Oreochromis niloticus: one gene and its partner. The protein of the gene in region 1 purifies or fractionates together with the protein of each later gene. This does not show direct contact. Links are inferred from orthologs where the notes say so. Each region holds a gene or a part of one and is shown on either strand. Other genes may lie near its edges.

Region 1 (6,926 bases):
CTGAGCTCCTTGTGTACCGTTTTTTCTTTTTACTAAAAAGCTAAGTTGTTATCATGTTTTGGATTGTTTAACATAGTAATTTTGGAGCTATTGAGAAATTCTCTTGTTCTTATTTCAGATAAACTTTTTGGTCTGTATATTTACCTGCAGCGTACTTCAGAGAACGATTGTAGCTTGGCAGTCTCTTCCACAGTCCACTCTGTTCCTCTCCTCCGTCTGTCACCGCCTCACATTGGCTGTTATAATGTTCATACAGCTGCCTCATTTCTGTGCCCCATGAGGGGTTAGGAAGGCTGAAGTCCCGGGGGTTGGATGAAAAGACCGATGGAAGCGTTTGCTAAACAGAGAAATAAAATATAATGTCTGTTAGTATTAAAAGCGTAATGACAAAGTGTGGATGTCTCATATAGATACCATATGACTACTGCTTTAATATTTGTGGTTCTATTAAGTCAACAGGGGTCATGAAAACATTTTCCAAAATGAGCGAAAAGTATTAATTTAGCTACATTAGTTTTGTCATATTTGCAGTCATATGAAAAAGAAAGTTTGCATTGGACTCTGTGAAAAATTGTCAGGTCTTGTGTGTGGAGGCGTGGAAGAGATGACCCAAACGCTGGACTCACGGTGCAGAAGTGATGAGGGTTTATTGGGAGCAGGTGAACGAACAAAGCAGGAACGGTAGGAGTGACTGGCTGACTGAATAACTGAGAACTAACGGGAACAACAACATAACATCAATGACACGACAAAGACCAGGAGAGAACTGAGGACTTAAATATGCTGGCTGAATAATGACTTATAGGTGACAGGTGAGTGAACAGCTGAACATAAAGAACTACTGATAAATGGGAAGAGGGCTGAACATAATGAACACAGACCAAGGTTAACACAATAAAACAGGAAGTGGAACCGGCAGTAGAGAAACGGTGAACGTGAACTGAAAATACTGGGTCAACGACCCAGAAACCCTGACAAAAATTCAGCATGTTGTAGAACCACCTTTAGCAGGAATAACTTGAACTACTTCTTTTCTGCTTGACTTTATCAGACTCTCACATCATCGTGGAGGAATTTCAGCTCATTCTTGTTCATTCATGTTTATTCATGCGCAGCTCTCTTAAGGTCCCACCACAGCATTTCAGTTGGGTTTAGGTCTGAACTTTGAGCGAGCCAATGCAGCACCTTGATTCTTTTCTTTTTCAGCCATTCTGTTGTAGATTTATTGTTTCTGTGTTTGAAATCATTGTCCTGTTGCATGACTCAATGTCTGCTCTACTTTTGCTGTCAGACAAATGTCCTCGCATTTGAATTGTTAATACTTAGGCAAGGTACCCGGCTCCTGTGGCTAAAAAACAAGCCCAAATCATCACCGCTCCACCACTGTGGGTTTGAGGTGTTTGTGTTCATTTGATTTGTTTCATTTTTACCAAACACCTCCACTTTGGTCTCATCTGTCAAAGGGACATTTTTCCTGATATGTTTGTTCAAGTGTTACTTTGCTAACCTGAGTCGTGCAGCCAAACTCTTTTCATAGGGAAGAAACATTCGCTCGGCAGCCCTTCCAAACAAAACCTATTTGTCTTTTTCTAATCACACTGTTATGAACTTTAATATTTATCATGATAACTGAAGCTTGTAGAGTCTGAGATGTTGCAATTTATAAGCAATGCATGATCTGACACTGGGGAGAATTTGTTGTGACGTCAACTCCTGGGAAGGCTGAATACTCCACACCAGCAAAATGCCAAAACGTCTGCCTTTATAGAGATCTTAGCAATTGCTGGTAATTAATAAATCTAATAAATCTGTTGTCTTCCATGAGGAGAAGTTGACTAATACTTACCCTCCTAATTCTGTTTTGTATGCCTGTGCGTTTGAGGTGTATATGTACACTTGTATGCATACAGAGAGAGACATTCTGCTATTGTAAATGACCTTATTGCCGACTAGAGTAAAGAGTACAAAGAGTAAAGAGTTAGAACAGGACGATTTTCTTGATGTAAGTGTGGAGGTTATTATGATCTTATAAATTCTAACTCATATAAACTCGAATACCTAATTCCTATGTAATGATGTAGTTTTTAATAGTAGTTTTTAACAAGAAGAAGTACAGAAAACTTTCTTCTTCACACGATTGTACGTTATTATATTTTTCTATAACACTATTATTTGTTACTGTTTACATGTTTGTCATGATGAACTTCATTTTTAATTGGGTTAACAAAATAATTTTCCAACCCTTGGATAAAGTGTTTCTTATGTTATCTGTGATGATGTTGACCTCTGTGGTCGTGTTGTAGAAACATGGCCTGCTATTTTAAGTTGTAATCACTACGTTATAGTCATCTTACATGTTTTTGGTTTGTTTGTTATTTCCAACAAGCTGACAAACTCTCACGCTGGCCACGTGTTTTTTAAGCTGTGATGTGCTTTTACTTTATTTAGCTGTGGGATAGTACAGTCACAACACTAGAGAAACATCTGGCAGGAGGGAGAAGAACATAACACGGCAAACAACTCACATGCACCATGAAAAAGTCTTTCATAAAATACGGCTCACATGTCTACCTACCACCATGCTCTTCAATGAAACGCTGGCAGGGGGATTGCTGAGTTCAGACTTCATGAATGCGAGAGAACCGAGGCTCTGAAAGCCCCTGAATATTCGACCCAGACTCCTTGCCATCTGTAAACTGTCCCCGCGATGATTGGAAAGCTGGGCAGAAACCGACTTCTATAACCTGAGGTAGATAAATTATGCTGTAACGGATCGTTGAGAGTTAGCTGTCTGTCGTCTGTTAGCGTCCTAACAGACTACGGTCGCTGCAGTAAACACTGGTCTGCTTTAAAAATAAAAGTGACTTAACCATCTTTGACCCGTGTTTATGTTCCGCTGTCTCACAGAATAGGAGTACGTCCTATCACGAGTGTCACTGCTAGTATTTTACCGGTGACTTTCATGTGTCAAGATCAGGCTGTAAACTTCCGGCGTGAGGGAGTTCTGCCGTTGCGTCGGTTGGGTAGAGTCACGTGCCATACAGATTCCAATATAATTGGCTGTCAAATAGAACTTTTTTTTCTGTTCCCTTGGTAACCACCATTATTCTTCTCTTTTCTTTTTTTTCTAACTTTACCGAGACACGGCAGATTTTTAATAGTTGTGATTCAGTTAAAAAAAAGTTTACACATTTATTGGAAACAAATAAATAGTTTGAGAAGAAACTAAAAAAGAGAGACTCAATTAGGTCATATGGGGCTTAGACAATAACAAAAATAACAAAATTAACAGAATCGACTATTTTTCTGTAGTTATTTTTACTCATAAAACTTAGAGATTAATGTACCTATTATTTATTTTATTAAAAATATAATTTTCTTTACTTAAGCATATTGCAATATTTGGAACTTTTTTGTGGTATAGCACATATAAAGTTTTTATTATATATTGTTAACTTAATTAATGCAACATAATTTTAAAATGTAATGTGCAAATATAAATCTCCTGTCTCTATCTAGAGACAAGATAATAGATAATAGTTTACTTTCTGCAACTGTTACTGTTCCACCACATTCCAACGATGCTCTATTGGATTGATCTCTGCTGTCTGTGGAGGCCATTTGAGTACAAAGATGACTTAAACTGTGTGGCATAGTGCATTATGCTGCTGGAAGCAGCCTTCAGAAGATGGGTACACTTTAGTCACAAAGAGATGGACATAATCGACAACAATACTCAGGTAGACTGTGCTCACTTGCTATTAAGGCACCCAAAATGTGGCAAGAAAATATCCCAAAAAACATTTCACCACAAGTGCCAGTCTGAAGCCTTGATACAAGGCAGTTTGGATCCATGCTTTCATTGATCCTAACTTTCATGTACTTAACATCAAATTCTGACCACAGCATTTAAATGCTACTGCAGACATCAAGACTCATCACACCAAGCACCATTTACCCAGTCTTTTATTGTTCTATTTTTGGTTCAAATTGTAGACTCAGCATCCTGTTCTTAGCTGAGGGTTGTGAAGCCCAGTATGGTCAAGCAGCCTCGTCATTTTTCTCTGACCTCTGGCATAAACAAGACATTTTCACTCAGAAAACTGCTGCTTGCTTGATATTTCGATGTATGTGTACAGTGACAATAAAGGGCTATTCTTTTCTCTTTTTAATACCATTCTCAGTAAACACTAAAAATGGCTTGTGTGGGGAAATCCCACCAGATCAGCAGCTTCTGAAATACTCACACCAGCCTGTCTGGGACCAGCAACCATGCCACCTTCAGAGTCATTTAAATCACTTTCCTTCTCCATTCTGGTGCTCGGTTCCAACTTGAGCAGGTCATTTAAACGTCTACATGCCTGAATGTTTTGAGTTGAGCAATAAAAAATTTTAAGTTTAGAAGTGGGTGGAGGTTGAAGGAGAGGTAGCAAGTATTTCTGTAACAACTTGCAAAACAACAACAACAGCAAAACAAAACATTTACACTATTTATGCATTATTTATAATAATTTATGATTATCATATGTTTATAAGTGATTCAGTGTTGATATAGCCTTTAAAAATACCGGTTATTTTCAATACAAGGCTATCATGTAAGCACAAGGTTGAAGAAAGGCATCTTGCCTGCAGATTAGCTGAAGGTGGTAAAGGGAACTGTGTGAGTGCAATGTTGAAAAAGGTGCAATCAGTTGTAAAGGTAAAAAATAAAATGAGCAATAATAACTAAGGTTACACTTGTTAATTTATAGGAACTTTAGGAACACAAAACACTTTATTTAGTCATTGTACATCCATACAGCACTCAATAAACCCACAATGTTTTTGGTGATCTAATTTCATACAAGACGTTTTGTAACAAGTTCAGCGTACTCAAGTTATTCTTGTAATAGTTTCCTCCAAAAGTGATCCCCTGTAAGAAAGTGCTTCCTCCTTAGTTGTATCAGCAAAGGCACAATGTCAGTAACATAGTCTGTCTTAACCCTAGGTTCTGCACTAGGGGGAGTTGAAGGACCATTTATTTGAACAGACGTGATAATTTAGGTTTTGCCTCTTAAATCTAAAAGGTTTTATCATTTTGGCTTTCTTTATATTCAAAGTAGCATTAAATGATGTATATAATGTTTTTACACTTTTACACACATTGCATCTATTTTCTAGACTCCTTAAAGGTCTGCTGTTTATGGCCCAGAAGCATAAATAGTACATCAAATTCATAAAAACCAAACAGAAACTGAATAAAATCTGGGTCTGTGTGTCCTTTTTTTAAAACTAGATCTGGTTTGTGTCACTAGAAGAAATAACTGGAACTTTTTAGCAAAAATATTATTTCCACATCATAAAACCAGTGCAAAATAACTGCCAGGTCGCTTTTTCATTACTGCTGGAGCTACAATGAAAATGTTGTACATTGTTACAATAATAAGTGCACTTTTTCTATTTTTTATTACATTCAAAAGAATAATAAAAAATAAAAAAAAATAGTAAAAATATGATAAAAGGAGACACCACAGTGTTTGACATCAGGTACCCAACCACAGCAGTCAAACAGCTTCTGCAGGGGTTATTTCAGCTCAAACACACTATCACAGAACACTCAGACAGACGTGGCAAACGTTGATAAGAGGGTTACTTTAACCAAACCATAATCTTTCCTTATAACTAATCAAAGAGTTATTTCTATTACTTATATTGCTTACTTATATTGTTATATCACCATATTAGGCGCAAAATTTTGAGCACATAGAATTATTGTGGGATGTTCACCACATTATATATTACAAATACAACCTTTTTTCCTTCTTATGATATGAAATGAATTCTATTTCTCTATTTCACATGTCCGTATACTTGTTCTCTGAGTCAATGTGCAGAGTTTCTTTTCTTTTTTTGTTACTATTCCATAATAACCTTAGTGCTGATACAAAACTTGGATGCACAAATATTTTTCTGAAAAAGTTGCTAGTCATTGTTGTGCAGTTCTGAAGTGACTTCACTGTGTTTCTTGAGTTATTCCACACAACTTCCTGAAAAATCAAGAAAGCAAAAGACAGTTTTCAGTTTTGCAGTAGAGACGTGTTAAATAGACTTCTACAGTAGCCCCCCGGTGATCTACGGTAATCCACATTATTATTAACGATGCATGCTGGTGATTAAAATCTTACCGTCCTTCCTCCTTGGTTGTATCAACAAAGGCACAGACAGCTTTATCTCTATCCGAAATCTGCTGTTTCAAGCTCTGAATGTTCTCCTGGGCTTTACTTTTAGCTGCTTCGTGATCAACTGAGACAATAAAACATAATAACAAATGAGAGCAAAACTGAGAATGTGTAAATGTATTATTAGAAACAGGTAGCTTTGTGTTGAAAGCAAATATTTGGATTGTACAGTAACTGAAATCTACAAGTCCTGTAGATGGAGCCATGTGGCTCAGTGTTGCTACAGCTGGTTTTACAGGTTTCCCATAAAGGAATGTAAAAATGGAACGGTTCTTTTTCTTCTTGTGTAGAAAACTGAAAAAGAAAACCCCACCCAGTGCATTTAAAAATGCAGACACAGAAATGTTTGTCTTATTCTCCTATCTGACCCATATCATTGTGTAGTGTGTGTAACATATTTATGGATGTGTTAGTCAAGAGCTGATATCAGCAGAGCAGAATTTAAACAGAAAGATGGCTTACCTTTGAGTTGATCTATTTCCCCTGTTGTACTAGCCTTCGTCTTCTCCGCCTTCTCCTAATGAGAAAAAAAGAGGAAGTCAGCAGTTACACTGGTTAACTGCGGAATGAAGCTCAAATAGAGACAATCAAGCAAATATTTAAATGTATTACAGTTGTTCACATCATCCTTTTCTTCCTTTTTTTTAATTAATATTTAGACTGCAGCACGAGCATGCAAATGAAATAACTCCTGCGGACAAAGTGCAT
Region 2 (7,762 bases), on another chromosome or scaffold:
GGATGATTTCTCGTTTGTAGCTGAACACCCGACAAACTAAATGTTTAGTCAGATGTGTGGCACATACAAAAAACAATTTACCATTCAAGCACTGATGCTTACACAAACACTCCATCCAAGCAGGAGCAGTGATGTGGATAAGAATAGGAGCAGTGGCCCTGTGTTTCCCTGGCCCTGGCAAACGTAGGCGCCCAGTAGAGGAGGGGTGTGTGTGTGTTCACAGGGCAAGACAAAGCAGTGGTTGTGCCTGGGGACTGTGGCCTCAGCAGAGAGAGGCTCGGCACGGTGAAGGTTCTCACACACAGAAAAAAAAAAGATAGGGAAAGAGAGACAGAGAGAATGAGAGCGGGGGAGTCGGGAGAGAGAGAGAGAGAGAGAACACTTCCTGGAGGTTCATTCTTCTTCTCTGCAATCATCAATGGCATTCTCTCCCTGACCCACTCCTCTCTCAGACAAACAAAAGACCCCGCATTCCAGTGTAGCCTGACTGGCCAACCAGCCAGAGTTGAACCACATCACTCTCCCTGCTGGACCAGAGTCTGATCATAGTTGTGGGTTTAAGCTGTGCTGGTGGTGTCTGTTTGAGGGTGTTTATAATGCATCTCCATGCATAAGGGCAGTAAAGTTTATGTTCTTTTGAAATGGTTTTAATATTGGGGAGAGTGATGTTATTTCACTCTCACTGGCCATGCAGATTTAATCAAATTACCTTTTTTTAAACAGGTGCATCTTTTATGTAACTGGCAGAGAATTCAAAACAAAGCTTTGCAAAACCTTTTAACCCTGTTTTTAATTAATAATAGCACAACAGCAACAAATTCAAAAGGCTGCGATGTTATGGTTTTCTTTTGTTTATTTGAAACATATATGCTTATGTCTTTAAAAAAAGTGGGATAAGAGGATGTTTGCCACTGTGGTGTTGTGAAACCAGAGAGATCAATTACTGCAGTTTTGTAAGCCAAATGTATTTCTGGGCTTGTTTGATATAAGATTTCAGCTCTTTAGCCATTCGGGGCCTTCTGCTTTGTCATTTTAGTTCTGTAATTTTCCACATTTCCAGTTTCGGAGTAAAGTCGGATTGGTTTAACACCTGGATTCTTTTACTGTAGGGCCCCGCTGCTATAATATGTCCAGTAAGTGGTCTAGTGTCATCCTCCTGAAAAATACATGAGTGGTAGCACATGTTCTAAAACCCTGCATATATATTCATTCAGAATTAATGGTGATTTTAAAGATGTGAAATTTACCCGTACCCTCTGCATCCTGTGCACAAATTCACTTCCTCAGTATCACAGATGCTGGCTACTGAACTGTTTGCAGATCATCTGGATGGACTCTCTCTCAGCTGGGAGGACACGTCTTCCATTATTTCTGAAAGGAATTAAAACTTTTTAACCACAGTACAGTAATTTGGTTTTTTACTTCAACTCAGTCCATAATAAAGGGGTTCAGACCCAGAGAAGTCAGTAGCATTTTCCATGTTGTTCATAAGTGTTTTTTTCCTTTGCCTTTCAGAGTTTAACTTGGAATAAACTTAACTTTTTGAATAAAACAATAAATGTATGTCTGTTCGCTTAATAGTTTTCAAAAGTGTTCCTTTTGAATTTTTACTTCAGATTTTCACTTCAGAATTGTGTTTGTTTCCAATGCAGTGAGTGTTAGTCTTTGGCCTAGTCCTTTGCATACAAAGAGTTCCCTGCGATGTCTACCTCTTTTAATAATATTGCATACCAAAGAAAATTCTCAAGTTCATGAGTTGCAAAATTTAATTCAATTCAGTTTTATTTATATAGCACCAAATCACAACAACAGTCGCCTCAAGGCACTTTATATCGTAATGTAAACCTCCTACAATAATAAAGAAAAAACCCATCAACAATCAGACAACCCTCTATGAGCAAGCACTTGGCGACAGTGGGAAGGAAAAACTCCCTTTTAACAGGAAGAGACATCTAGCAGAAACAGTCAAGGTAGCAATCCTTAAAATTTTCAACTATTTTCCCATGCAGTCCTTCACAGATGTTTCACTCTCTAGGAGGCCAATTTTACAACAATATTTTATATTATTTGCCTGTTGCCAGTCAACCTAACTGTAGCTGTAAGATGAGCCACCAGATGTTTTAGGGGTTTTCTATTGTTGTCCCTAACTTTTTTGGAAATAGGATGCTGGAATCACGTTAAAAACAGTTGCCAGCTTTTAGAACCAATGCTTTAATAACTGATAATCAGTTGTTTGTGTGTATCTTCTAGGAGTGATTTATCACAACAGCTGCACTGGTTAAATAAAATAAGTGTCCCTATATCACTCACATACTTTTAGTATCTCTTATACTGTTCTGTACTGATCCTGCTGTTTTACACGCAATTTATACAACAATAGTTGTGTGATTCTTTTGCTTTGTTTTTTTTAAATATTACATTCATCTAATAGTGTAATAGTTTAAGCAAAATTGCTTTGTAGTTGACTGGAGATGCTGTTTTGGTCAGCTTCCCCACCGCCCCACGTATCCATTCACCCAACACCTCCTCCATATTATGGCCCTCCTGCCCTTCTGTGTCTAATTGTTGTTACCGCGTGTTATCTATTCTCCTTTAACGGGCCATTAAGTTCTGTCTGTACTGTTTGTTGTACTCTAGACAGATACTGCAAGTAGACAGGGATCAGAGATCAGATGAGCCTTTGATGGGAGAGATGCTATTAACTCACTTTGACTTTTTAATCTTGTTACTGTTACGTTTGATCCCGCAAAACAACAGAGCGGGCATTCCCATCAACAGGCCAAAGAGAGTGGGTGGAGGAGGAGGAGGAGAGCACCAATGAATAGCAACTGGAGAAAATATGGGATACCCTAAGTCAGCTTTGCCTGTATGACAGGAACAGCTTGGCGAGGCTGACACATGGTAGCAGTGAGAAACACATTACAGCGTGAGTGACAAAGAGGGGAAATGACAGCAGAGGAGGCTGAGAGACAAAGGGCACAAGCCAATGAATTTTTCATCACAAGAGGAAACATTGGCAGCTTTCCCCTGCTATCCTGTTCTTTTAATATTATTAAGTCATTATTGCGGGAATTGTCACATGCACTGTCTTGCTTTTATAAGTGATACATATATTTTACTGCACTTCTAATGCTGATTCAACTTTGAGGCAGTCAACTACACCATGCTTGGAGATAGAAAAATAATGGAGGGGTAAGACGTAATGGACGTGAAGAGGGTCGTGAGTATCACAGTGTAAAGCAAGATAATGGAAATGTTAAAATGGGAGGTCTCTAAAATGTTTTAGACTTCTAGTTAGAAACATTTTGATCAAGTATACCCAGTCATCTGAGGGCGTCATTTGATACATAGGCTCCCTGACTTCTTTTAAGCAGACTGAGCTGGCCTGTCTGTACCTGTCCAAAACTGGTTTAACTCCTACCTCTCCAGTGGAGTTCTCTGTAGCTGTAGATGACGGTTTATCTAACACAACAGGTAAAAGTGTGGCATGTAATCATGAACAACCCTCAAGATTTTTACCTTCTCGTTCAGCTGTTTCATCTGGTATATGCAGTTAATTTAAGAGAGTATCTGCATGAATACAAAAAGATCAGTGGCAAGGGCTAAATCAGACTAAATACACTTCTGCAAACACATTCTTGTGTTCAGCACATCTGCTTTACCCATTTTGAGGTATTTTGTTTTAAGTGTGTCAGACTGAGACATTCTCACACTTCATGTTTAGTTGGCATTTCCTGGAAATGTCAGAGGCCCTTCCACAGCAACTTGAAGAGAAAGCGTGTACCAGTGCTTTTTGGTACTGGCAGATGTGACTGGAACCAGGTGATCGAATGTGTAAAAGTCCACCACCGAGCCTGATGCTTTAGCGCTGACGTGCAACAGAATGGAAGCAGCAGCACATCCTGCTTATGGTTTCTTCTTTAGTAGTGATTTTAATATAATTTTACTAGATTACACAAGGCTACACATGTGTCTGAAAGAACCATATCTGAAACTAGAGCTAGAGCTTCACCTTTTAGAAGCACAGCTCTTTACACAGTTTTAAGGTGCATAACCTTTTGTTTTCGTGGTTTTGATTGGTTGGTTGACCTTATTTTGGATAAAGCTTTATTTACTTTGACCTAATTTCACTTATTATAACTGTATTTCCATGTTAACAAGTTTACCCATCAAATACAACTTGCTTGAAACAAAGACACGGTGACAAACTTGTACTTTTCTTTCAGATACAGCTGCAGCTTAACTTGTTTAAAACCCTAGAAGGAGTTTTGTGAACATAAAATATTTTATTGTAATATAATTTTAAAAGTTATTAAATAACAGGGCAGATGTGAAATGACAAAATGATAATAACATACTAAATGAACCAGTTTAGCTCTAAAAAACGTTTTTCTTAGTCTTTTCTTATAGCAAACTTTGCAAGACTGTAATTTTGAACTTTTGTAAGGCACTAATATACAACATCTGGACTAACTGGGAATATCTGTGTATATTTTGTGACCAAAAAACATGTAATCAAAAAGACAAAAAAAAAGTAATACATAATTACAGATGATTGATGACTAGAAGCACCTTTTGCAACCCTAATATAGCTCATCGCAGAGCAGGTAGAGCAGGTACCAAAATGTAATTCTCATCTTGTAGCCTGCATTACCCTTGTGGTTGTTCCAGGAAGTCAAAAAAACCCACCTAAGTACACTTAATTGAAGCGAGGATCCCTTGAAAAACATACAAGGTCCTCGGCAGGTCCCCGAAACCCATTTTGGAAACCACCGGCACAGATAAAAGAGCAGAGAGTTCAACAAGGCCATGCAGAAGAAGCACCACTGCAGTTTTTTTTTCTTCAATGGGACGCCTGACAGCCTACTACTCCTTCTGTGAGTGTGACTCATTTAAGGGCGGCTTTAGGACCCGGGAGAGACGGCTGCCACAGAGGCATTGCAGACAGCGCGTTTGGGAGGTGTAGTGGAAGAAAGGCAAGAGAAACGGAGTAAATGAGAGCACTTTGTCCAGATTGTTGAAGGACCCGTCAACTTAAAACACCGCCGAAACAGCTCACTATAATGAGACGGACACATTGTTGAATTCCTGTCCAGGTAAATGTCCGCGTTTCCTTCGCATGGTTAACTACAAGAGTTCGACAGCTAGACAGGGTAGGTCCCCATTGTACTTACATGGGATGCGGTTATTCTCACCCAAGCTGCCCTGCTAGGCCCCATATCCTTTCTAACGCTAGATGCAAACCTGAAATGAGGTACTTTCCTGACTTCACTTCGCCGTAAAAAGTTGTCTCATGACGAAAAAAGTCGACGGCTCATTAATTTCCTGTAGTGAATTCTTAACGCTCGGTGTTTTTCCACAAACAGCAGTGAGTCTCTTTAAGATGTTAACCATTCATTTTTTTTTTTTTTTTGACAATGACCACTTTTGAGACACAACCCTCGGGCCAAAATATCTGCAGTCAAGTCGCTTGAAACGGTTCTCCTCTTTGCGGGAAAAAAGTTGGGTTTTTTGGCGTTGTGCTTTATGGTCCTGGAGGGAAATGAAAACAAATGAGCTCAACAAGAGAGAGCAGCTCATTCATTGTTGTGAACTACCACCGCGTTTGTTTACTTGTTTGAGTGAGGCATTTATTGCCATCTTATCTTTAGCCATTAGCTTTGCTGCCTGCCTGCCGAGAAGCTGCTGTGGCCACAAACAGTGCTGCTTTACAAAAAAGAAAAAGTTATGCGTCTATGTTGTGACTTGTTGCCACGCGTTTACTTTTTGGTCCACAATTTAGACACAGACGTCATAAGAAAAAGTCCCAACAGTGTAATTTAACGCCCCCCCCCCGTAATCAGTACAACGGCATAATGCCTGTGGATAAGTGTGTTTTGATAGTTTTCACTGGCCTCACTGCTAGCATCCCACCTACAGTAATGACAGTTGTGTAGGTCTGCACTCAATAGTTTTTTGTCTTAAAGGTTTATTATTATAGTATTCTTATCAAGTTTGAGAGATATCAAGTGATCAAGGGCATAGAAATCTGATGGGCTTTCAAATTTCAAAAGGATTCTTGCAGGATACAAGGCTTGCAATCATGTTTAAAACTTATTTTACTAATAATACTGTCTGTCTCCTTCTCCCAGGGTGCATGCATGTACTAAAAAGAGAACATTGTCCCCGGGTGTGTTGTACCCACCATGCCTTCAGTGTCAAAAAAAAAAAATGTTTTTATCAGTCATGAGACTACGTCTGTCCACTGTGTGTGTACGCAAGGGGATTTGGCATGTGACCTGGGGAAGACGCAACAAGCTGGCGCAATGATGCAGCCAGTGACTGCTTGGCTCTCGCTGTTCTGTTTAGAAAAAAAACACCCACCTCCCACCCAATCCCCTCGCAGCAGCTCGGTTGACGCAAATCTGCCACCAGTTGCATGCAGAATCTGAGGAATGTTGTTTGAAATTTTGTCCAAAACAGACAAACAGGGGCCTGGATGCATCACCAGAGTCTGGATGTACTGAGACTGAGAAAGAGGTGGTTCTCGTACCGGTGTCCCGGACGTCACTCTTCTCCATCTGTGTCACAAAAACTGAAAACAAAATACTTTTGTTTTCCTTTTGCTTTTCTGTGTTAACTTTCCAGCCATTGTAAAATGATTCTCATGAGGTGTGATGTGTGTGTGGGGGGGTGGTGGTGATTTGAATAAATTAAGCTTTGTGTTGCTTTTACAGCTTGTCTGAACAGCCTGAATATGATTACATTAACATGAGTCATAAAGTGGTTGGTGTTCGTGTCATCGTAGGATTAAAGCGGCGAGTCTGCTTGCCTTTCAAGGTTGCAGTCACTGCGGTTTTGTGTTCAGTTAAAGCTGCCCGCAATATTCTTATCAATAATGGTGTGCTTTCAGGGAACTTGAAAGAGGAACTTGGTAGCGTAGTAGATCACCGTAATACTGGCTCCACTGTGGTATTTGAGCTCAAACTAAAGTGTTGCTTTGGTGACTTGTTTTTCAGCAACAGGTTAGCGTGATGTCATTTCTTGTGTTTTTAAATACTTTCAGTGTAATGTTTTACTTTTGGAACCAGAAACCATGTGGTAGTTTTTCTGTTAACCGAGCAGAAACTGAAGCAAAAAATGGTATCTATTAATCTGTGATGAAGGAAGTAGCGTGGTGATGTCGACCTGATTTTTTTTTTTTTTTTTTTTCTTCTCCCCTGCTTCCTGCTATAAACACATGGGACTATCCTCTCTGGCCCAGTGACAAGCTCAGTGTGTGGCAACTTTTGCTGCATGACACTGATTTGCATTGAATGGGGTGGCCCCCGGCGTTGGAGCCAGAAAGATGAATGATTGAAAGCCGCCCTGACATCAGGGCAGGCAGGCAGGCGGTGGCCCAGAGGCCTGAGGACCATGTGACCCGCTGTCAGGGTACTGGGTTCATTCAGTGGCTGCTGGCTGCAGCGCTGGCAGCGGCCCAGCTTTTTCCACACAGGCCGCAGTAGCAACAGGTCGCTCCCATTAAAACAGCAGCGCTCTGTTGTGGCTCCAGAGCCGGTCTTGTGCATGTGTTGCTTTTTTGGCTGCGGCGTGTGTGCGCTCAAGTTTGTTTGTGAGGTGTATCCCAATGTGTATATAATGTGTGCGTGCCTGTGTCACAGAGTCCACACTAAGATGCCGATGGGATCCAACGGTTTTTGTGATCCTTACTTTGAATTGCACTCTGTGTGCTTCCCTTTTTTTTTTTTTTTTTTTTTTTTTTTTTTTTTCCTTCTCAAAT

The links.
Region 2: the proteins of them4 (region 1) and akt1 purify together in Homo sapiens (co-immunoprecipitation; 4 studies listed by BioGRID and IntAct, with this or other methods). This does not show direct contact. The link is inferred for Oreochromis niloticus from reciprocal best matches to the Homo sapiens genes THEM4 and AKT1.

The regions. Positions count from the first base shown.
Region 1 is NC_031976.2:20,580,678-20,587,603, reverse strand, and holds the start of them4 (acyl-coenzyme A thioesterase THEM4), read right to left. Parts: upstream 3,038-6,926; 5' UTR 2,690-3,037; coding exon 2,576-2,689; intron 338-2,575; coding exon 145-337; intron 1-144. Other genes in the region: uncharacterized protein si:dkey-87o1.2, read right to left, coding at 5,993-6,026, 6,165-6,282, 6,681-6,735. UniProt on the Homo sapiens protein: Has acyl-CoA thioesterase activity towards medium and long-chain (C14 to C18) fatty acyl-CoA substrates, and probably plays a role in mitochondrial fatty acid metabolism. Plays a role in the apoptotic process, possibly via its regulation of AKT1 activity.
Region 2 is NC_031983.2:8,882,678-8,890,439, reverse strand, and holds the start of akt1 (RAC-alpha serine/threonine-protein kinase), read left to right. Parts: upstream 1-4,722; 5' UTR 4,723-4,877; exon of another isoform or gene 4,878-5,153; intron 5,154-7,762. UniProt on the Homo sapiens protein: AKT1 is one of 3 closely related serine/threonine-protein kinases (AKT1, AKT2 and AKT3) called the AKT kinase, and which regulate many processes including metabolism, proliferation, cell survival, growth and angiogenesis.